2 linked regions of the Notamacropus eugenii genome follow. The protein of the gene in region 1 interacts with the protein of each later gene in a pairwise test. Links are inferred from orthologs where the notes say so. Each region holds a gene or a part of one and is shown on either strand. Other genes may lie near its edges.

Region 1 (12,335 bases):
AGGATGGGCTCCCCTATCCTTCTCCTGGGCACCAGAGCATTGATGCTCCTTACTCTGTTCTTTTCCACCCCCACCTTTCTCAGTACAAAAGGGGTGCAGCTTCCCCTAGCTCCTGAGTAAATGACCCATTACCCTGTAGGGAGTTAAAGCTAAGGTAAGGGCTGGGCCTGGGAGAGGCTTGGTGGGTGGGGTGGACTGGGGAAGCTGAGTCTTACATTGTACACCCTGCCCTAAAGGGAGAGTAGGGTGTAGAAGAAGGGGACCAGTAGGGATGGCCACACATGCAAATACAGACAGGGGACCTGCTCTAGTTCTAAGGGAGACATCCAAGAGGAAAAAGAGACAAGAGAAGGAAGTGGGAGCCCAGAACCCAGATGCCCTTGTTTCTTGAGAATAGACTTTGTATCCCCAATACCTGGCACAGTGTCTGGTAGATACGTCCCAAGTCAGAAGATCATATATTTAAAACTTAAGAGATCAACTAGCCTAATTCCTTCATTTTACATATAAGGAAACTGAGGCCCAGAAAAATTAAATGAATTAACAGTCACAAGAGTGATAAGTGAAGAACCCTAGTCCTGTAGCTCTAAACCCATTACACAACACCACTATTGTTGTTCAGTCATTTTTAGTTGTGTCAGACTCTTCATGACCCCATTTAGGGCTTTCTTGGCAAAGATACTGTAGTGGTTTGCCATTACCTTCTCCAGCTCATTTTACAGATGAGGAAACTGAGGCAAATATGGTTAAGTGACTTGTCTAGAGTCACACAGCTAGTAAGTGTCTAGGGCCAGATTTGAAACTCAGATCTTTCTGACTCCAGGCTTGGCACTCTCCATTGCACCACCTAGCTGCCCCCACTATACCATATCACCTTCCAATAAGCCCCCTTCTTTAACAGACAAATTTGACCTCCCTCCAGGGTACTGAATTTCTTCTATTGTCTCTGTTTTAACACAAAATAAGGAGACCCACCCTCTTCTATCCCTTTCTTCCTTTCCTGTTCTCCATGTTCCTTTTCCTTTCTTTCTTTAGGGGAAGGGGAACCTCACTGAGGAAAAGGGTTCTCCCTAAAGTGTAACCCTCTATTACCTAACTACAGACTCTGAGGCAGAAGTGTGTGGCTAGGAGATTTTTTTTTCTGATTATAAATTATTACTAAAACAAATAGACTCAAGAATCCTCTCTGCCTCTTGTCACTGTAAAGCCCTCTGTCATCTGATGGAACGATTAGCTATGGAGAGGCTCTAACAGAAAACAGAAGCAGAGAATGGGGGCCTCTCATCATAGTCCTTTTAGTGTCTAAATCTCAGTTTCCCCCATAGACCCCAACTCACCCTTGAAGACAAAGTTATAATCCTCTTCTGCTCCGTTTCCCATCTTGGTCCCGCATCGAGTGTGTATGAATATGTGCAGTTGTAGTGAGAGGTGTAGATGGAAAATGGGATTAGGGCGTTGGCTCTGTGCCCCTCAACCCTCTGCTCTCTGGAGACCTTAACCTGACTCTCTTCTCATTGGGGATAGTTGGTCTTTGCAGTAGGAAGGAACAAGGGCAGACTCGGTCACTACTGGTGGGCTGGGAAGTCTCAGCTAATTAAAAAGAGGACGGGTCACAAGGAGAGGACGGAAGCAGCAGAGAACAGGAAGAGCCAGGCGGCTGGAGACCTGGGGCCCAAGTGGGTGGAGAGAGTGATGACGTCACGACAGGTTGGACAGGTTGGGTGTCTCTCAGGCCCTGGCCCTGGGTGGGGAGCAGGACAGATTTCTTAGAAGTTGAGGGAGGCAAATGGGACCTAGGAGGCTGAAGGAGGTTCCCCTTCCCCTAAAGAAGGAGAGCAGGGCCAGCTAAGTTAGCATCACTAGGCTTTCCTGGTCTTTGGTTAGGTTAGTTAGTCCCTGATCTTAAGTCTGCAACAACTATGTGGGGAAAACAGAAAGAATCCTGTCCTCAGCTCCCACTCTGCAGAAGTAGCCGGAGCAGGTGAGCTAATGGCACTTCAAGAGCATTCCCAATGCTGTCAGTGTGGACCGGAAACTTATGATCTAGTGACACTTGCTGCTCTGGCAGCGGGAGAAGCAGCAAGTTAGCTAGGTACAGTTGCTATGGTAACAACCCCTCCCAGGGAGCCCAGGGCAGTAGGCTGAGCAGCCTCTTTTTTGGGGGGGTAGTAGATTTTTTTTATAGTTTTTTTTCCCCAGGAAGTGAGGTTGGAATTTAGGAAACTTCGGGAAACTGAGTAATTTACAGCAGAATTGGTGGCATGCGGGCTAGCTGGTTTGGGGCTAGGGTCTCTGGAAGGTTAACTGAGGGCTTTGAGTTAAGGAGCAAGAAACATTGAGAAAAGAGAAGAGCAAGGTAGAGAAAGAGATGGACTAAGTAACGTAGCTAGAAAAGAAACAGGTCCTGTGAGGTATATGTACACACACGTCGTGAGTTAGGGGAGGATTTGGAGCTGGGCAACATAGCCTGAGGTCTCTGATCAACCTCTGGCCTGGAAGTTAGGTGTCCTGGACTCCAGCAGGCTCCCCTTTCTCTGGCCTGGGGCTTCCTTCCCAGCCCCATACTCCTGACAGCACATCTGAAAAGGGCTTACAGATTCCAAGTTAAGATTGTGTATATCTTTGTGTTTGTTGGGGGTGGGAAGGCAGTTAAACCCTTGAAGGAAGCCAAATGTCCCTGGTAGCTCTTACTCATCTTCCAAACTAAGAAATAGACTCAAAATGGATACGCCTGAAGATGGGGGTTGGGGAAAGAAAGTAAAATGGTCACATGACCCTCCTGGAATAGGAGTTGAAGCACTGAGCTCCCCATGTATAAAATGTGACCCTCACTATGTCCCTCCCCACCAAACTCAGGCATCCATCCAGGCTTACTGTAGATTATGGATGATAAGTTGGAAACTGCAGCCAAAACACCATTTGGTTCCTAATGAGAGGAGAAAGAATCTATTAAAAATGCACCCTGAAAGTGATCCCTTATCCATCTCAAAATCTGGCAGTTGGAAGGGCCTTCAGCAGCAATCTTGTCCAGTTCGTACATACAGGAAAGAAATTCTCACCATTAATATACCCCACAAGTGGTCATCTTTTCTCTACTTTATGACCTTGAAGGAGGGGGAGCCCATCCCCTCTCAAGGCAGCCCATTTTACTTTTGGCCTGCTCTAATTGTTTTTCCTGACCTATGCAAGCCTAAATCTGCCTCTGAAACTTTCATTCACTTCCCGATGGGGCCAAAGGGAACAAATCTAATCCTCTAGTACCTCCCCCACTAAACGTGACCATTAAGAAAGAATCTAAGACATAAGACAGGTGTTAAATAGTTTATTCAATGAGATTGGAAAACTTCCCTTCAGACCTCAGGAAAGGTTTACTGGGGACCCTGCCCCCATCAAAAGATGAGCCCTCCACCCTCATCCCCACTCTCAAGTCGATTATCCCCCGATTGCTATGACGCTGCCACTTGAGTGAGGGGATCCTCCAGGTACTGAACCAGGGCCTGGGCCTGTAAGAAGGTTAGTTCAATTTAGCCATGAAAAGAATACCTGATGGAGTCAAGGACTGGGACATCCAGACTCCCAGTTCCACTCCCTCCCTCCCCATCAGCATCAGCTTTTAAACCTCATACACTTTTTCCCAGGAAATAAGACTGAGATGTCTGAGCTCCTCATTTCTACCTATTCTAGAGAAAGCTTGGGAATAGGGAAGAGGACTCCGAACTAGCAAGATGAGGGCATGAAGAACATGAGACATTTTTTAAAAAAGGAGATGGGATAAGGGATCACCTTGGCCTTCAGCATTCCAAAGCCCACAGTCTCTTTGGCGTACATACACAGCAACAGGTTTGCCACCCGAGTGATTGCTACCCGGCCCTCCTGCAGGGGTAGAAAATGTGATATATGACTGCTAATTGGCCCCAGCTGTCCCCACCATTATGGTTCCTAGAATCCATTTTTTGGAATAATGTAATATTTGTGTGATTTTAGGTAAACTCCTTGGCCCCCAATTTTCTTAGGGAGTTGGAATAAAAAACCTCTGAGGAGTCTTCCAGCTCTAAATTTGGGATTCTATGATCTTTTTTAGGCTTACATACTATCATATAGCCTCATGTATTGTTCTCAGTTTAATGTAATTCTCAGAGAAACTATAAGCTGTCAGGGCAAAGACTCAGGCACATGAAATGGTTTCTTTGTATGAGGTAAAAAATTAAAGTACCAGGTTCAGATCCTTGCTTTCAGGTCTACTTGAGACTGTACCCTAAAATTGTTGTTGGGGTCCCACCCCCATGATGCACTTGGGAGTTTCTGTCTCCTCCTCCCTCCAATCATCCAGCATCTGCTCCAAGTCTATCCACTGATTAAAGTAATCAGAGTACAATGGAAACAACACTGAATTTGAAGTCGGAGGACCAAAGATCCAGAAGATTGCAAACTCTTGGAGAATAGGGATTGTTTTGTCCTTGTTACCCCTAGTTCTTAACACAGGGTCTGAGGCTTAGTGATTGTCAAATTGAATTGAATTTCAAAGTGCAAGCTGCCTTGAAGGTCAATGAGTCCAAACTTCCCATTTTACAGATAAGGAAACCGAGGCCCTGAGAGGTTGTGACTTGCCTGAGAATAACAGACATTTAAATAATATAGACAGTACTTAAACCCAGGTTCTCTAAATCTAAATCCAGCACTCATTCCATTATTAACATAGTCTAATCTGCACTTTTGCTATGTTTGTGACCTGGGCATATCACTTAGCTCTCAGTTTTTTCATCCATAAAACAGAAGGGGATTGGATAATAGGCTCTCTGTGTTCCCTTCCAGCCCTAAATCATTGACCCCAAAGAGTCATCCACTAAGGGAATCTAGTTTAAATCCCTCCACTCCAGGAGCTCCACTCCCCTTCATACCATGCAGTCCATAAGGATGAATTTGAGATTGTCTTCGTTAAAGGCTTGGTTCCCATTCCGGTCGTAGGCAGCCCAGATGTTACTGGCGATGGCAGCAGTGACCCTAGCATCGGTGTCCCCATAACCAGAGTAGGCCAGCAGGGAGCCCTCATTATTCAGCAACCTGGGGAGGGGGGATATAGTTAAAATGACTGGCTGGAGTCCTATGAATGTGTTCCGGGGTGAGAAGCCTGAGTTCCCTCTCCTAGATTTCGCTTTCCCCAGGGGTTGGGGCCCCAAGCTAAAAGCTATCAGCCTCCCCCCGCGACACACACACACTTTCTGAAAACCACTGCCCTCTTCTTCCCCCTTCCTTCCCTTCCCCCCTGCCCAAATCTTTCTTCTTCCCTCAGTCCCGCCACCCATTCCTCATCCAGGTTTCATTTCCCTAATAGCTCAAATTCCAGGAAAGCAAAGCTTGTTTCATTTTTGTCCATGAACCCCCCAAACCCCTGCACGGGGGCTGCCATCCAGTAGGGACGCCTTAACAAATGCTGGCTGACGGACCGATGGATTGATTGATAGCGTGCCCCTTTTCCTACACCTCCGTGTTCCTGGGGTCTCTTCCTCCCTTCCTGGGGTATGCAGAGCTCCCACTCCCGGGCCGGACTACAGGCTTGTTCCAATCCCAGCTAGGATGCACTGCATCCTGCCCCTTCTCCCCAGGGCACCCCCTACCCCCAACACTTACAGTGTGCTCTGGACGCCTCCGGTGTTGGCTTGACTTAGCACCTGGGTCAGGGCCTTGGGGCGAAGCATGACGACCGCTCCGAGTCCCCGCAACCCGGTCTACGTCCTGGATCCCTAGGGTCTTCCCCTGGCTCGCACTAGGTCGGACGCTTCCCGTAGCCCCGGCCGGTTCCCCCGGGGCTCACTGGGAATTGTAGTCTCCACCGGTAATGATCATTGCAGGCCTCCGTGGTAGGGCACCCTGGAAATTGTAGTTCTTTCTCAGCCCGAGAGGCATCTTGGGGGCCGTAGTCCAACATGCGAGGAGTAAAGACTCACCGAGGACATTTAAGCCGTCCCGGGAGCCTGGAGTAGTGTGGTCCGCACGTAATGAGTCATTTATTTAATTTTTGTGTGTGTGCGCAAATCTTTGCGCTTTGCAAGGTACTTTCATATAAATCAACAAGCATTTATTAAGCATGTAGCAGGCACTGTGCTAAACCTAAATTGCCCTTAATAATCATGTGGGGTAGGAAGGTTAAGTATTATTAATCTCCATTTTATATAAATGGGGATAAAAAGTCGTGACTTGCCCAAGGTCACACAGCTAGCTCCTACTTGAGCTGTTGTTTCCCTGTCTAGTGCTCTTTTCACTCCAGCATACTACTTTTGTTTTTATTTAAGAGAGGAGGTTAGAAGAAGAGGGAATTTAGCATAAAGCATCAGATGTTAGATTCCAATCAACCAGCAAACATTTATTAAGCTAAAAATACCCAGGTTCAAGTTCTGCCCCTGCCACACAATGACTGGGTAAATCTGAGCAAGTCATTTAACCTCCTTTCTGCAGACAACTAAGGGGATAAATTGCAGAGAAGGTGCTGGCCTGCACTGGTAAAAGGAATGTCCCCACCCAGGAGTTCCCTGCACCAAAGAAATCACAGCCTTATTCCTATCAAGCACAAAATCTTCTAGGTTCTAGTGACTGGGAGACACTTTACACAGGATTACAAAAGATCGAGGCTATTTGATTCTGAAGGGGAAGGAAGACTCCTAACTAGGGGAGGAGAAATGACCCTCAGAGGAAAGCTAAATGTCATCAGAAGGAGAGAAGTTTATAAGGTCAAGAAACAGAAGAGGAGTAGCTGTGGCACTGACCATTTTCTTATTTCTCAGGGCTGAAACCTTTCTTGTGTGTTGTCTCCCCATTAGAACCCGGTCTCCTGTAGATCAGGGACTGTCTTACTTCTCTTCTTCCCCAGGACATAACAGTACGTCAGTCAATAAATATTCAGCACCTACTGGGTGCCAGATACAGGGTTGTGCATAGATTAAATGCTTAATAATTTTTTTCATCCACCCATTTACACAGTAAACATCTGAGGCTGAATTCGAACCCAGGTCTTCTTGATTCCTTTTTGTCCTGTGAGACAAGAGACCTTTCCAATCCAGTGACCATCAGGACCCTTTAAAGTCAATGACCGTCCCGTCCAGTGAACTTTCTCCCTCCTAGACACATTGTCCCCGGTGCTGCCGTGACTCCCCCAGTCCGCTGGGGGCGCTGTAACCGCCGAGAGCTAGAGAAGGAAGAGAAGCGGAGACTCGCGGGGCGGGGCGGGCGCGGCTGCGGCGGCGGCGGAGGCGGCGGCGGCGGCAGGGGGGGGGGAGGGACGGAGGGCGGGCAGGAGAAGGCTGGGGTGGGGGGGGAGGGCTGGGGACGCCGTGGCCGGGCCGGGCCGGGCGGGGAGGAGGAGCCGGGGCCGGGCTGGCGGGCGGGCGGACGGCGGCGGCGGCATGGCGGAGCCGAACGGGGCCGGAGCCGGGGCCGGGGCCGGGACCGGGACCGGGACAGGGGCCGCGTCCGGAACCGGTGCCGAGCCGGGGCCAGGGCCCCCGATCCGGGTCACCGTCAAGACCCCCAAGGACAAGGAGGAGATCGTGATCTGCGATCGCGCCTCGGTGAAGGAGGTATGGACGCCGCTGGCCGTTCGGCGGGCCGCGGAGGCGGGAGGAGCGGCGCGCTGGGGGCCGGGCCGGGCCGGGCGCGGGCGTGCAGGGAGGGACGGAGGGGGCGGGGAGGGACGGCCGGGGGGAGGGGAGAGGAAGGAGGGGGCCTCTGGCACATGGTGGGGAGGGGAGGGAAAGGGGAGGCTCGTCCATCCCTGGAAGCAGACGGGAGGTGGGGGGCGAAGAGAGGTTGCAGGAGTGGGGTCAGGGGGCTGTCTGACCCACGAGGGTCCGGGCAGGCTAGAAAGTGAGGAGGCGGCGTACCCCCAGTCCCAGTCCTGGAGCTCGGAAGGGCCAGAAGCTGGCCCTAAGGGATGAGAGGAGAAAGCCCCCCATGCCCCAAATGCCCCATTCAGGGAAATGCCCTTTTCCTTTAAGACCCTGCTTGCCCCCACAGAGTGCTGGTTGTAGGCTGCCTTGGTCCTGATCCCCTCCTTTACTGCCTTAGCCTAGAATGAGTTTAAAGATAACGGCACCCCCAAGTTTAAAGGTGGAGAGTAAGAGAAAACTGAAGGGGGAGATCCAAGTGAGGAAAGAAAGGTTAGATAGTAGCAAGGAGTTGATTTTTTTTTGGGAGAGGGTGATACTGTGTTATGGACAAAAGAGTCAGAGAAACTGACTTGGTTAGAATTTAAACTCCTCAGTTTACTTTGGATAAGCCGGTCCACCCCCTCAGTTAGCTCATCTCTTGGGGTTGGCCTAAGTGGTCTGTAAGGTCCCTCTCAGCTCCAAATCCTGTGATCAAGGGAGGACTAGAGCCCCTGTGGTCTTCATCTCAGTAGAGTATGCAGCAGGACACAGAGGTGCTAGATTGGAGGAAAGATTTCTGATGACTGGAAATTGGAGCAAGGATTCTGAAGAAGAGTCTGAGCTGTTGGACAGTCTTTCTGTGAGGCAGGCCACACTGACCCTGGACCTTTGACCTGATATCACAGTTCAAAGAGGAGATCTCCCGGAGGTTTAAAGCCCAGCAAGACCAGCTTGTCCTGATCTTCGCTGGCAAGATTCTCAAAGATGGAGACACGTTAAATCAACATGGGATCAAGGATGGGCTCACTGTCCATTTGGTGATCAAGACCCCGCAGAAGTAAGTTTGGGATAACCAATAGGAGCTGCCCTTTGAATGGTCCTTGAAAGGCTACTGCTTTCTTACTCATCCTAACCCAATGGAAATCGTTTAGAGGTCTGAGAAGGAGATGCTATAGTCTTGATTGCGAGTTTGGGCTTTTTAAGTGTATAAAATTTAACTTAACATCCTCCTAGTATAATGTTACTTCCCTAGAAAAAATGGAGGCTAGTGTCTTACCCTTTTAAAAATCCTTGCTGAGAAGTTCAGTCCTTTATTAGTTTTCCATTTTCTTAAAGAAATAATTCTTTTGGAAAAAATTTTATTGATGACTTTTCTTTGAATGCCATGTGACTTTTCAGTCATTCTGTCTTCCTCTATTCTACAAAATAGTACTCTTCTCTTGTAGGAAAGAAAAACTGTAGTAAAGCAAAACAAACCATCATATTGACTGTTTCAGCCAGGTACCTCATTCTGCATTTGTAGTCCTTCATTGTTCTGTCAAGCAGAGGAAAGTGGTTTTGGCCATTTTCAGTTTTCTGACGTTGAGATTGGTCACTGCCTGGATCAAGTAACAATGGCTAGCATTTATACAGCACTTTAAGTTTTATAAGCCATTTTACCTCATTTGATCTTCAGCACTGGGAGTGCTCTTGCCCACTGTAGTCCCTAGCAGCCTAATGTTCTGATGGCTTTCATTGTTTTCCTTTACTTTAGTATGATCTTTCAGTAAATGATCATAATCAATTTCTAGTTCTGCTCATTTTACTCTGCATCAGTTCATTCAAGTCTTTCCAAGTTTCCCTGAACTCTTCTTATTTGTCATTTCTTATGGCACAATAAGATTCCATGGCATTCATGGTACAATTGAAAAGAGCCTTGGGTTTAGAGTCAGAACATTGGCTCAAACCCTGCCCAACACTTGCAACCTCTTTGACCTTGGACAAATCTCTTAACCTCACCAGGCCTTAGTTTCCTTGTCTGTAAAATGAAAGATGGACTCCTAGCTTCTTTATTTCCAGTTTCTTGCTATCTCAGAAAGTATTGTTATAAATATTTTTGTGTATGTGGACCCTTTCCCTTTGTCCTTGACATCCTTAGGATATGTCAATAAATCAGTCGCTAAGTCAATAAACGTTTACTAAGCACCTACTATATGCCTGGCCCTGTGTTAAAAGGGAAAGTCCCTGCCCTCTAGGAGCTTCCAATCTAATGTGGGAAGATTATATACAAAAGGCAGGTAAAGGGGGGAGGGGTAGTACCTGACTTGGGGGCATGGTGGAGAAGTCAGAAAAGTTCCAGAGGAGTGAGATCAGGTGAGAAATGAGATGTTCTGAGCCCAGCTCCCTGCTTAAATAGAGTTTTGAAAGTTCATGGCACCACCTTTCAATCAGAAGGGCAGAGGGTAGTAAAGAAGTGAAGTCCTAGGGCTGAAAAGACCTTTCAGGATGGTGAGATTTTCCCAATAATGAGCTTCTTTGACCCTGGTGGAGAAGTCACAGATGTCCCAGAGTAGTACTCAGGTGCGAAATAAGGAGGCCCAATACTGGTATTACTGGGGGTGAGTGTGTGGGCGTGTAGTTCAGCCCGGTTCCAAATTGTTTTCTAGAACACTTAGATCGGTTCATAGCTCTACCAACAGTATGAATGTGCTCATCTTCCCTCATATCAGCTAACATTTACCCTTTACCATGTAGTCATCTTTACCTGTGTGCTGGGTGTAGGGTAAAACCTGAGTTCTTTTCATTTTCATTTCTCTTATTATTAGTGATTTGAAACATACTTTCATGCGGTTGTCAATAGTTTGCAGTTTTCATTTGAAAACTGCCTGTCCATGGCTTTTAACCATTTTATATATTGAGAAATTTCTCTAATTCTTGTGTGTGTGTCTCTATATGTATATATGTACATGTATAAACATGCACATGTATGTACATATGCACACATATATGTATGTGTATACGCAGGCATATATGTGGATATGTATATATATTCCTATAGTGCACATATATGTATATTATTTCAATACGTATGTACACATACCTTGGGTGGTCAATGCTGTTATCCCCGTTTTATAGATGAAGAAACAGATTGAGAGAGGTTGAATGACTTCCCAAGGCCCCACAGCTGGTAAAAGTCGGAGGCAGGTTCTGAGCCCAGGTCTTTGGCTCCAGGTCCAGGAATCTTATCTTCCCCCTAGCTGACTATATATATGAGTTCTCTCTATCTCTTGGTAGACTTCTCGTTTCTAGTTCTGTGGCCTCTTTTGGCCGTTTTTTGGCTGAGACCCTGAGACTTGAGAGGAATCAGTAGGGTGTTAAAAAGAACATATTTTTTAAAGCTAAATTCTAGCATGGAGAACCACAAGCTGTTGGGAAAGTCAGCATCATCTTCCATAGCAGTCTAGGGACAGTGATCTGAATGGGCAAAGAGCAGCAACCTTTGAGCTGAAAGCTCTGAGTTCCATCATTGTAACTCCTCTTTACTAACTGTGGCTGTGGGCAACGACATCATTGACCTCTCTGAGTTTCATCTGTACAGTGGGAATGCTATATGTACTATTTCCCCCAGGAGGTTGTGAGGGAGGAATGAGAACTCACCATGTAGTGTAGTGGATGGAAAGCTGGCCTGAAGGCCAGGAAGACCTGGGCTCAAGTCTTACCTTAGACATGTATTGACTGTGTGACCCTGGGCAAGTCTCCTCTCACTGCTCTAGGTAGTTCTCTAAGACTCTTAAGTTACAGAGGAGTTGTCAGCTTATATTGGTGGACACTTGCTGGTTGTGTTACCTTGGGTAAGTCACTTAACTTCTCTGTCTGCCTTAGTTCCCTCATCTGTAAAAGGGGGATAGTAAGAGCACCTACCACTCAGGGTTATTGTGAGGATCAAGTGATGTGATATTTGTGAAGCACTTAGCATAATAACCTGCACATAGTAGGTTATATAAATAATTGTTTTCTAACTTGGTAGAGGGAGATTCTTCACCTTGAGAGTATCAGTGAAATCACAGCTCTGTTGCCTTTTCTTAGCCCTACTATGTGCTAAGGACTAGGGACAGAAACACAAAAGCAAGACAGTCTGCCCACAAGGGGCTATGTGATTCTGGTCAAGAAACATTTCTAATGGGGAGGGAGCACCTTTTCCCCTTCATCTTTTTCTGTCTCTCTTCTACCCCCTGGGACTCAGAGTGACTGAGTGATTTGCCTGTGGGCATATAACAGATTGGTAGGGCGCCACTTCTGGTGCCCAGGTCTTCTGAATGCCCAACTAGTCCTCCTAAGTTAGCACTGCTTTGCCATCTGAGCCTCCTTGTAAATTTGGGGTGGAATGGGGGGTGATTTATGATCAAGAGGATCACTTCTAGCTCTTAATAATCTATGCTTCCATAATTCTTTGATTCCTGGGTTCCCAGTTTAGGATTTTCCCTCCTATGTCCTTAGGGCTCAAGATCCTGCCGCTGCTGCCTCCACCGCTACTGCTGCTGCTGCTACCACCGCTGCTACTGCTGCTTCCTCTGCCCCAGATGCTGCTTCTGCTCCAGCCTGCACAACAACTTCACCTGCTGCCCCTGCTCAGCCATCCACGTCAAGCAGCACTGCCCCTGATGCTGCTAGTGGAAACCGGAGGAACAGTGGAGGTGGTCCAACCCCAGGGGCTGG
Region 2 (12,257 bases), on another chromosome or scaffold:
CTCAGGGTCACCCAGAGACCATGATGAAACATTAGAGGAGGACTTTAGTCCTAGTGAGAAAATGGGAGGAGGAAATGAGAAAGTACTATTATTAATATAGTCAAAAGGAAGGATGAATCAAGGCTAAGAGGTAGTAGAAGGCGTAGATACCATATGCAGGAAATTCCCATGAGAACTACCACATAGGAGCTGCTACAAAGAAAAGTAGAATAGGATGGAAACTAATGTAGCATTTCCTTTGTATCATTTCAGGACCTAAAAGGTAGGAAGGAGACTAATATATCTTGGCTCAAACTAGCCTATATGTTATGGTAGATGGTGAGAATGGTGTTATGAGAGCTAGGAGAGCCTGACTGATGCTGGGAGAAATGTTACTGTTGAATGAGCATTTCTGAGGTCTGGGTCTTTCTCTTCTCGTGCTGGTGTTATAGAGACAGTGTTGGGGGGGAGGGTTAAAAGTATATGTCTTGGTCCAGAAGTTTTCCCAATAAAATCAGGAATAAAGCAAGGGTACCCATCCTCCCCACTGTTATTTGATGTAGTTCTAGAAATGCTAGTAATAGCAATAAGACAAGAGAAAAAATTAAAGGCAAAAAAATAAAGAAGAGATAACACTAATCTTATTTGTCAATGGCATGGTGATTTATTTTTAAAATCCTAGGAAATCAGCAAAGATAGTAATTGAGATAATTAATTGCTAAGCGATCTCTAGTTCCAAAATAATCCCATGAAAATCATGAATGGTTCTATATGATGATAACAAAATCTAAGAGGCCATAAGAGAAAATGAAATACCATTCAAATTAACTACTAAATGCACAAAATAAGTGTATAAAACATTAATCTATTATCCAATTTTAAAGTGTTTCTTAAATGATCAAAGATTAATTAAAATAACTAGAAGAATATTCAGTGCTCATAGCTGGGCCAAGCCAATATAACAAAAATAATGGTGCTACAGTACTAATACTGTACCGATCAAACTATCAAAAGGATACCTTACAAAACTATAAAATAATGACAAAATTCATTTAGAGATACAAAAGATTTAGAATATTAAGAGAAATAATTTAAAAAAGTAGTAATGACAGGTGAATAGTACTTCCAGACTTTAACTATAGTATAAACTAACAATCATCAAAACTATTTGGTGATGGTTAAAGGAGAGCAGAGCAGATCTACAGAACAGACTAGTTAAGGGAAAATCAGAAACAAATAAAAACAATAACTTAATTTTCAATAAATTAAAAAAATTACTTGGAAAAAATTCTCTATCTTGTTAAAAAAAAAAAGTCAGAAAGGAAAACCAGAAAACGATCTGACAGAAATCAAACTTATACCAACAATTTAGTCCATACTCTACAATCAAGAATAATAATAATAAATAATAGAAATGAAAAATAAAACAATCCTAAAGTTTTACCTCACACCCAGAAAATGGGGGGAAAAAGATAGGAATAAGTCAATATTTGAGGGGTTTTGGAAAGACAGGCTTATACATTGTCGGTGGAGCTGTGACGTTGTATAACCATTTTGGAAGGAAATTTCAATTTATACAAATAAAGTGACTATCCATACTCTTTAACCTCAAGATGTATGTATTGTTCTTATCTACCAAGAAGGTCATTGACAAGAAGAAAATCCCCACGTATGACAAAATATTTATAGTAGCACTCAAGACACATGGAAAGACACAACCTGTTGCAAAGTGAAGTAAATAAAACCAAGGGAAACATTGTACACAATCATTGCAACATTGTAAATGGAAAGAACCAACATAAAAACATCAAAAGATAATGTTTCAAAAACACAAGGAACAAATATGATCCCAAAGAAGAGATACTGGAAGACGTTTCAACCTCACTTGTTTGCAGATGTGGGAGGTCTAGAGGTATGTATATAATGCCCGTGTATCTGTATCTGTATATATAGGTAGATAGATAGATAGATAGATAGATAGATAGATAGATAGATAGATAGATAGGTATATATATGTGTACACACATATACATGCATATATGTGTGTATATGTATACATATATGTATAAGTATATATACACACACATATATAATTAGCATAGGATACATTTTCAGACTTTTTCACCTTACTGATCTGTTTCATGAATTTGTTCTGTTACATCTTTTCTATTTTTTTCTTTAAAAATATTATTTGTTATGTGAGATGAGTTTCTGGGAGGAAACAGCAAGAAAAACTGAGAAAAATTTTGTGATTTAAAAAGCAAAAGACATCAATAAAAATTATTGTCAAAAAGAATGTGAATATTTCAAATTTTTCAAAAACAAAAACCAAGCATGGCTCCCAAGAAGAAATAGGAAAAGATAACCCTACTCCACTCCTTTGCAGAAGTGAGAGGCTCTTAAGTATGGAACATTGCATATATTTTAAAACTTTTTCCATGTGTCAATCAGTTTTGCTGAATTTTTTTCCTCTTCCTTTTTTTTTCTTTAAAAAATATTTTTTGTTATATGAGTTGTTCTCTGGGAGGGCAGAGGAGAAGGGATATAAAGGGTAAATTTGGTCAATATAAATGAAAAAGATACAAATAAAAATGTATTTCTTAAAAAACAGACCATCTGTATCTGGTAACACTTCCTGGACACCCAAACTAAGAAACTGCTATAACGTAGAGCTCTTTCCATTCTTTATGTAGTATCCTTTGGTCAATCAATGTGGGTAGAAAACAAGACAGACAGATATGATATAAATATAGATGATAGAGAGCTATATTCATTTGTTTACTCATTTGTAAACATGTCATATGCTTTCAGAAGAATATCAACTTCTTGAGGGCAGAGACTTTATCACCTTTGTGACTATATTGCCAGTGCTTAGCATGAAGCCTGGCACATGGTTGGTACTCAATGCATGCTTATTGATAGATTAACTATAATAGTTTGTTTCTGTATATATATATATATATATATGTATGTATGTATATATGTATGTATGTATATATATGTATATCCTTTTCCATCATGCATATATTGATTAATACACATAAGTATATCCTGCCCATTGTTTAGCATCTACACTCTATTGCATCTTTCACATACATGTACAAGATGCATGCAGATAGATGTGTACTTGCATGTATAAACAAGGATGTGTTCTGGGTTTTACTGCCTATTAAAAAATACATTCTACCATCTTCTGCCTAGAAAATATTTGAGGAAAATGTCCACCCTTCCTATTGGACAAAGAGTTCTGTTGGTACGAACACATTGATGTTCTTTAGTTTAACTGACGCTGTCTTTATGGCTTATCTTCCTTGAGTGAGACTGTAAAGGTGTACAGAAGAAAGAAGTGAGTAACTTAGCAGCTGGGGTCATGGTTCCAAATGCTACGCAGAGTTTCTGCTGTTTATTGCTCTGGCGACCACCATGTTTCCAGTAATCAGAAATCCATATGGGGTATTGGACAGCCCATGGCTGTTGGGAGTGTCCATTTACTGCTCGCTGTAATTATATCTCTTATCAAAAGTTGCAGAGAAAGTGCTGAGTCGTGGAGGATGTTTCCTCACTAGCAAAACAATTAAAATCACAAAGTCATTCCCTATTCTTATGCTTAACTTGCTGATGCTATAAACAGGAATATCCAGTTTGTCTATGTGTCAAAAACATGCTCTCTACCTTCCCAACTACAAAGAAGCCCCCAAAATTCCTTAACCATAAATTTATAAGGTTTTACACTCTGTAGAACCTCAGAACCAATACCATTTTTTGATGAATTGCAAGAAAGATGGCGAGGCCTACCTGACAGCTTACAGAGACTCAAGGCATTGCATGGAAAAGAAAAAATACTTTTGTCTAGACCTATTTATTCCTTCCCACTGCTTTTTTGTTGAGGAAAATTTCTTTCTGTAAGCACCAAGGGAAAGTGGCATACACTAACTAATTTTGGTCTTGTCTTTTAACATATGAATGTGTACCCCTTCCAACAAGAAACTCAGTAGAAACAAATCACTGCTATTTGCTTCAAAGATCATTTTTCGAAATACTGCCATCTTGTGGAACTTTATAGATATGCCCAAGAAACTCATAAGTGGGGTTACATGGTTCAGTCTAGGAAAAGTTGCAGAAATTTATTCTTATTACAATTTTATATTAAATTATAGGAGAGGGTAAAGAGTAAATTGCAATGAGTTCTGTAACTAGGTGAAGCCTTTTAGAATATATAAATGTACTCCAAGGAATTCATAACATCAGGCCCATGTAGGTAATACTTTTAAGAAATCAGATAATTAAAAAAGTAGTTGTAAGAGAAATATTTTACAAGTTTATTTTAACACTTGAAAACTTACAAGCATTTATAAAGTATGTATTATTAGAACATATATATGTATACATAAATACATACATATATGTGTATATATATGTGTGTGTATATATGTATGTGTGTGTGTGTGTGTATATATATACATATACACACATATGTATATAACCCACCATGGACAGCAAATCTAACAAGATTAACTCATTTGGAATTGCACCCAATGTTATTTTCTTCCTAATTCTAAAAAAAAAAAACAAAAAACAACTGTGGGTTTTTCCATTAATATTGGGAATAAAGTGTGAACATCTAGAGGGTTGGGGATTTTTGTGGCTATTTTAAAACAGTGCTTGGCATGATTTCAGGTCAAAAAGGAACTGACTTGTGAAAATGCTAATAAAGCGGCCCATTTATCTTACATCTCACTTTGCATACAATCCTTCAAACAATTCTGTGAAGTAAATGAGTACTGTAATCCCCCCATTTCACAACTGAGAAAATGATATTGAAGCTAAGTGACCTCCAATGACAATGAAATATTGTAGCCAGAAATGAAACTCTAAAAATTCTGTCCTTGCATTTAAACAGCATCTCTAGCCTCTTCTCTCACACATGCATTTAGGTACATGAATTTTTTAAAAGGCTCATAAATTAATAAAATTATCATCTATATAAATTGGGGGGCACAAAGCTGAGGGACAAGAAAAGTTGGATGAGAACTCAAGAGGTGTAGTACCCAAAGGACTAGATCAAATGAAATAATATTTGTAAAAGAGCTTAGCACTTAGTAGGTGGTCTATATATGTTTAATTTCTGCCCTCCCTTCTCCTCAGGAGTTAGAGAACTTGGAATCAAATCCTACCTCTTGAGCTTACAGTGTGTATGATCTACGAAAGTCCCTTAACACCCCTGGGTCTTAACAGTCTCATCTGTTACATGGGTGGGTTGGATTAGGTACCTCAGAGGTTCCTTTGAGCCATGAAGATAGCTAGGATTTAATTTCTAAATATGATTCAGAATGTTTCCATTTTTTGTATATGTGACATTCCTGTTATTCAAGATGTACAAACCTTATGTAGGGACTCATTCTAGAGATGAACAGTGCCAAAAGTTAACATCACCATTTCCCCCAAAGCAAAACCTTATAGAAACTTAAGTCTTTATCTTAGCAATATCTAGAGTAGGCTTCTATTTTTTATGACAAGAAGTAAGATTCTCCACTGATATTACCAAGTAAGCCCTGACAATTCATATTATTTCAATAATGCAACAAAACTATTATCTCCCTTAAAGTTGTTCAAGAATATAATATATAGATAGGTATAGATACATGTGTGCACACACATATACATATACACAGTGTATTTTGTACATATGCATATACATATATATATGCATATGTTTATATATACACAGATACACAACTATACCATATACATAATACAAACACATACACAATGCATATGTGTATACCTATACATGTATACGTGTATGTGTTGCATATGTATACATACACATTGTGGATGTATGTATATAAAACATATGCATGTTTTATTGTCATGTTAGTGCTTCTCTTAAGAGTATAGAATGGTTCTTAATTACAGAAGAGACAGTTATGAACACTTGGTGTGTCGGTCCAATTTCACTAATCTGAGACATTGTCCATAATGATAGCTTGTGTCCATACATCTTCATGTGTTCAAAACCTCTGCTGTGTAAGATGGAATGTGCTAATGGATAGATAGTATTACCATCTATTTTATTAGGAAACTGAGGCTGAGATAAATTTAGTGATTTGTTGCTGCTACTAAATGACAGAACCAGTATTTGGTGCCTTCTCTCCTTTCACTTGGGCCAGATGAGATTGAGAGACTTGTTTGAGGTGATTCAGGTAGTAAGTAGAAAAATCAGTACTGAAAACCAGATCCCCTCACTCTAATCAACCCACTTTCCACTTTCTGATCTCAAGCTTTCACTTACTCTGCAAGAAACAAAAATACATTCATCTTATCTGTCATTTGTTGCCGACTTATTGTCATGAAATACTATGTTGTCCCAATAGCTAAGTCATAAACTCAACATTTCCAGAAACTAGTCTTCTTTGCTTTTGTATTGCTTATTTTATGTACACCTACCCTTGAGTCTCTTATATAATGATGTGTTAAACCCTCGGAGGAAACTGCTAGGAAATAACAGAGTATGTAAGTAATGTTTTAACTATAGGGTAGTTTGTATTTGCTTTATAAAACCACAAAACCAGAAGGAAAGTGTGGGAGAAGGTGGGCGGGACAGTGGCACAAACCTCATGACATTTTCCTCCACCCCTTGGTGATTGGCTGAGAAGATGTGGGACAGCATTTAAATTCTAGGAGGTCACAACAAGTGAGCAGTCTGAAGAGAAGAGGAGGGAGCATCAGATCCTGAAGAGAACCTGAACAATCTTCTTGCTCAAACTCCACCTCAGGTAATTAGATTTTTTATTTGTTTGTTTTACCACTTTACTTCTTAAAATTTCTACTTGGGTGATTAGACGAAGCTATTCTAAATTCAGTTATTTTTCTCCTACAAAAGCTCATCATGTTTTAAAACTAGGCTAAAACAATCTGACTAGGATTTTTTAAAATTGAGTTATGTTATTTTAAAATGCAAGCTGAAAAGATGATAAAAACGCATCCAGTTTTTTGGTTGGTTTCTCTTATAAGTGGAGAAAGATATGTACTGCATATATGGTTGGCATATTGATGTTAAGTTTAAGTTATTATCTAATGTTGTCAGCTAAGAATGAGTCTAACATAGAGAATTAGAACTATTAATGAATTGTAAAATGTACTCATGCTTTTTCGATGTTGGATGACTCAGTTTTTAACATTCCCTTTTGACTGTCAGGAATGGGGAAAAAAATAGTAGCACAGGGTTTTAGAACTCCTTTTCAGATTTCAACTCAACAGAGAAATTTTTAAAAATGTTAATGGAAAGGAAAGAGCCTCTAGAATATGGAATCACTGTGGTTAAATTGATATTACAAGGTATCCTTGGAAACACTGAGGAAGAATTCACCATGAGGACTGCAGTGATTTGCTTCTGCTTACTTGGCATTGTCTCTGCATTTCCTGTAAGTAAATATTACAATTCAATTACATTACTAAACCTGAATAAATTGTATAGATTCTTTCTGTGCTAGAAATAAAGTTGTACTGTAATCTCTTTTCATCTTTCTTGTTTCAAAGGTGAAGCAGCAGATCAATTCTGGTAGCTCAGAAGAAAAGCCGGTGAGTTTCCTTTAAATATCTTTTTGTTAACTTCACTTCACACTCACTACAAAGTCAAGTGGAAGTCATGTCATCATTTCTCTGATGGCATGGTCTTCTTAGGCAACAAAGGATTAACACACACACACACATATGCCTACTTTTACAAAATTCACTGCCCAAAATATCTGTTACAATAATGCCTGCTCACAAAATGGTAACATGAACTTTTCCCTATTAACTTGAGTTTATTAATTCATGAGCATTTATTTTTACAAAGCCTGCTTTGGGTCCAGCACTGCAACAGCACTGTTGTGTACAGTTGGGTATAGAATAAGGTCCCTTACAATATTATACTCAAAACCTAGCTGAGGAGTTTACCACCTGTTTAAGAATGCATGATTTTTCCTTTGTGAAGTTAAAATTAGGCCTTTTAAAAAAGCAAATAGTTCTCTGGACCACAATAATTCATGAATCCTTTCTGTTTAAGTGTGCCCTTTTGTGGCCAATATATTGTTTTATAAGAGTTCAATCCATTGTTTGATCACCCTAAGAGAAAGTAGAATTTAAAATACATTTCTGACATTAGTCTATAAGACTATGTGGCCAAATGCATAGGCAGTATCTCTTTAGATGTTTGCTTCTGAGTCCATTGTCCGAGGAATATTGTCAGATGATTTCAAATCATATTTTCCAAATAAAATAGGCATCGGTTGAAATCATACACATTCTACTATTGGTTTCATAGCATCTTAATTGCAGCTGGTCTCCTAGATAAAACTGTGTCCAACAGAAAACAGGCATTGCCCCCGGGTACTAACCCTGTAGAACACATAGTAAAATTCTAGATAGAATAGAGGCTAAAATTGAGTTATCTGGGATCATTGTGATTGTTGCTTAATGAAGGAATCAGCAGGATTTTTGAGATGTTGCTTTTTCCTAATTCATTCATGAGTGCAAAATGCTTTGTTATCATAATGAAATAGGAAAGTTGGCATTTTTAGAGAAGATTACCCCTCTGTTCTAGTCAGAGAAGATTACCATGCCCAGAGAACATAAAATAAGGCAAGGAGGTACCCTAACAATGTCTCTTAAGTGGAATGAGAAGTCAGAGAGCAACACAAACTCCAAGTAGTAACCAGTAGCTGAGTGCTGAGAATGATATTCAGGATGTGAATGAGCAAACTCAAAGTTCTTCCTTCTGTTGTCATTTCCACCACCATTCCTATCATAATCATAATTTTCCATAAATGTTGGGCACAGAGCAAATGTAATTTCATTGACATATATGGTAATGTGGAAAGTAGACAATTATCTAAGGTTATATCTGCCTTTAATTGAACTTTAAGAGAAGAGTCAGTGAATTGGAATATTTATCAAAGGAGCAGCAATTACAAACAAATTCTTGAAAGAAAGATACAAAGGTAACAGGATTCTTAGCTAATTATATCTTTATTCTTATGTATTTCATGTTGCTAAAGCTCCCTAATTCATACAACATCACTTACAGGGGCATACGTTTCCCTTCTAATAATGATAGACATGCATTTTTTTTCTTATAGCTTTATAACAAACATCCAGACTTTGTGGCCACATGGCTGAGTGCTGACCCTTCCCAGAAGGAAACATTATTAGCCACACAGGTATTTGAAAATTTTGTATGATTAAATATATAATTCAAGTGTTTATTCCTGTATGTATGTATATATATATACATTTATATATGTAAATACATATCTCCTCATCATCCCCACTAATCAATCTACAGGTTATTTATTAAGTCTTTTCTATGTGCCAAACACTGTACTAAGTTCGGAGATACAATGAAAAAGCAAAAAATATTCCCTGCCCTCACTGAACTTATCTTTTAACAGAGGACAAAACATGCATGTAAATATGTAAATAATAAAATATGTATATATAAAGACATATGAGTGTATAGATACAGCTATTTAGATAGAGCAGTTACAAAATGAACTCAGAAGGCACCACTGTGCAAAGTGTTTGAATATAAGAAACCAGTGGTTTGATTTCTATTTATACCTCAGACACCTCTCCAAGGCAATAAGGTACAGAATATTTAGCAGTTTTTAAAACTGTATTATATATGGATAAATCATATGGATGTCCTCATATGTTATGTTATGTAAGATGGGTCATTTTCATGTTGATGAACAAAGATTTTCATTTGAATGTCAGTCAGAAGGAGATAATCAACCTATTTTGATCTTTTCCCTTTTTAGAATTCAGTGTCCTCTGAAGAAAGTACAGAAGACTTACAAGAGGTTAGTTCTCACCTCCACAACTTTTCCCAACATAGGGAATTCAATGGGTGTAAAAAATGTTATAAAACTTCTTTCTCGCAGGAAGACTGATCTAGATACTCTACCTCTGATAATCCACTGGAGAATTCCTCCTAGACTTCTTTGTTAAGTACTTGGTAAACCTTAAAGTGCTGTATAAATTGGAGTGATCTGAATTATTACAAGAGATAATAATTAGGGATTTATAGCAGAGCTGACATAAAAGTCTAGCATCAAAGCTCAATGTTTAGACAGTCTTGATTCAAAAATTCATTTCAAACTTGACCAGTAAAATCAGATCACATAACTCCAAAAAGGCCCATCATTAAGGAATTAACATATCTCCTATCTATTTAGTCCTAAAATAAAGATTCATTAATATCAGGCTTAAAAATTTTGTTTGAAGTCTACGAATACACATGACCTCGTGCTCATCAAGTGACAAATTAATGCCCTTGAACAATAACCAAATTAATATTTTTGACTCTATTTATATTTTCATTTCCAATCTGATTGTTTATGAAATAGCTCCAATCTTCATAGGGCCACTGGCATGTCAAAGCAATGTTTGAGTCAAATGATACAATTGTGTCATTGATCACAATCATATATTAACTTTTTTAATACCACCATTGTGATGTACTGAGAGCTCCTGGAGAGGAAACTAAATAAGCCATTGGAATGAAAACAGAAGTGTCAACACAAATGCTTGGCGGTATATTTTCTTATTTATGGATACTAACTGATTGGTTTAGGTGATGGTTAGAAATGGAAATGTATTGACACGTGCATTCAGTCAAATTTCAATTATCCAAACTAATAACTACTAGTGTACCAAATAATTTATTTACAAAATATGAAGCATTTTGGAAAGAGAATATTTTATGATGTATAAATATAAAGAAAATAATTTATGAATTTTTCAAGTAGAGTTCAATAGCTAACATTTATGTAGATCTTTAAATTAAAAAAAAAACTTTTGACTTTTAGACACTCCCAAGAAACTCTGATGAAAGCCCAGATGATATTGATGATGATGATAACGAAGATGGAGATGAAGGACATCAAAGCATTGATTCTGATGATTCAGATGAATCTGATGAGGTGGTCACTGATTTTCCTACTGATACCCCAGCAACACCAAGTTTTGTAACTGATGGACCAACAAGAGGTGATGGTGGCAGAGGAGATAGTGTGGCTTACGGACTGAAGTCAAAATTGGGAGCACTCCACAGATCATCAGAACAGGTAAATTCTCTTGACAAAAATTTTAGATGGTTACGAAAAAGCCTCCCTTTTAAGGAATAAATGAACGAAAGCAATATCCAATACAAAATTATTATTTAAAATGTTTTATTTGGTGCTTTTGGAAAATCCACATAAATTTCTACACTTTTCCTTCTCTAACACTGCAGTTTTCACTTAAAAATCATGGTTCAAAATGGTGCCAAGGTCTCCATCAATTATCTTACTCCATCTAGACTTTCTTGGGAGAAAAGTCTCTAGAGTATGGCAATCATATACAAAAAAAGCATTAGCTCAAAAGACTAAAAAATAGAATAACTATGCAAACACACATTTTAGCTAAAATTAATCCCCCTCCATGTTGTTAGCCATAGTTTAAAAATGGTTTACATTAATTCTCTTCACACACTAAATAATCAAGTCAAACTGGCTTCATCGCTGTCCTTCACATACAAAATTCCTTCACCCGAATCATTGTATGATTTCCTTCATACAGTCTCTTGGAATCCCTAGTTTCTCTTGAATCTCAGTGCCATTTTCTATATGAGGCTTTTCTGATACCCAAGGACTGCCAGTATATCCCTCCCCTGAACATAATTTTTTATTTCTTTTGTATAAACTTCTATGTGGGTCTGTTGTCTCCTCTGGTAAAATGTGAAGTCCTTGACCGCAAGTCAAGGCAACAAACATTTATTATGCACTTACTATGTGCCCAGGCACTGTGCTAAAAGCTGAGAATACAAATACAGGCCAGTCCCTGCCTTCAAGGAACTTATATTACAACAGGGGAAAGTAACACGTAAAAGGGAGCTGATGAAGGTGTGGGGCGAGAGGTTACCCACATAAGGGTATGCTAGAGAAAATCCCCAGTGTCAGGATGGAGCCTGGAGAGGCATTTAGACGTGGCTGGCCTAGATGCTTTCCTTAAAATGGAGGTTCTGAAAAGCAGCAGCCAATCAGAGGAAGGGGCTACTGGAGCCCTATGTACTATCAATATGAGAAGTACCAGGATAGAGTGAATCTTCAGTATTAGGTGGCTGTTGAGGTGTGGTAGAGAAAGTCTAGAGAGTCAGAAGAGGAGGAAGTATTTTATTTTTGTCTTTCTATCATGGGCAATTTTTAGCCCATATTAGACTATTGATTGATAGACTCATGTGTAGGAGTACTTTG

The links.
Region 2: the proteins of UBQLN4 (region 1) and SPP1 interact in a two-hybrid assay, tested with the Homo sapiens proteins (2 studies listed by BioGRID and IntAct). The link is inferred for Notamacropus eugenii from reciprocal best matches to the Homo sapiens genes UBQLN4 and SPP1.

Annotation. Positions count from the first base shown.
Region 1 is NC_092873.1:380,136,141-380,148,475, reverse strand, and holds the start of UBQLN4 (ubiquilin-4), read left to right. Parts: upstream 1-7,379; 5' UTR 7,380-7,397; coding exon 7,398-7,571; intron 7,572-8,545; coding exon 8,546-8,697; intron 8,698-12,116; coding exon 12,117-12,335. Other genes in the region: RAB25 (ras-related protein Rab-25), read right to left, coding at 1,338-1,380; ragulator complex protein LAMTOR2, read right to left, coding at 3,447-3,503, 3,784-3,873, 4,899-5,061, 5,629-5,696. UniProt on the Homo sapiens protein: Regulator of protein degradation that mediates the proteasomal targeting of misfolded, mislocalized or accumulated proteins.
Region 2 is NC_092878.1:141,855,282-141,867,538, reverse strand, and holds the start of SPP1 (osteopontin), read left to right. Parts: upstream 1-6,674; 5' UTR 6,675-6,755; intron 6,756-7,317; 5' UTR 7,318-7,349; coding exon 7,350-7,403; intron 7,404-7,518; coding exon 7,519-7,560; intron 7,561-9,101; coding exon 9,102-9,182; intron 9,183-9,782; coding exon 9,783-9,824; intron 9,825-10,832; coding exon 10,833-11,090; intron 11,091-12,257. UniProt on the Homo sapiens protein: Major non-collagenous bone protein that binds tightly to hydroxyapatite. Appears to form an integral part of the mineralized matrix. Probably important to cell-matrix interaction.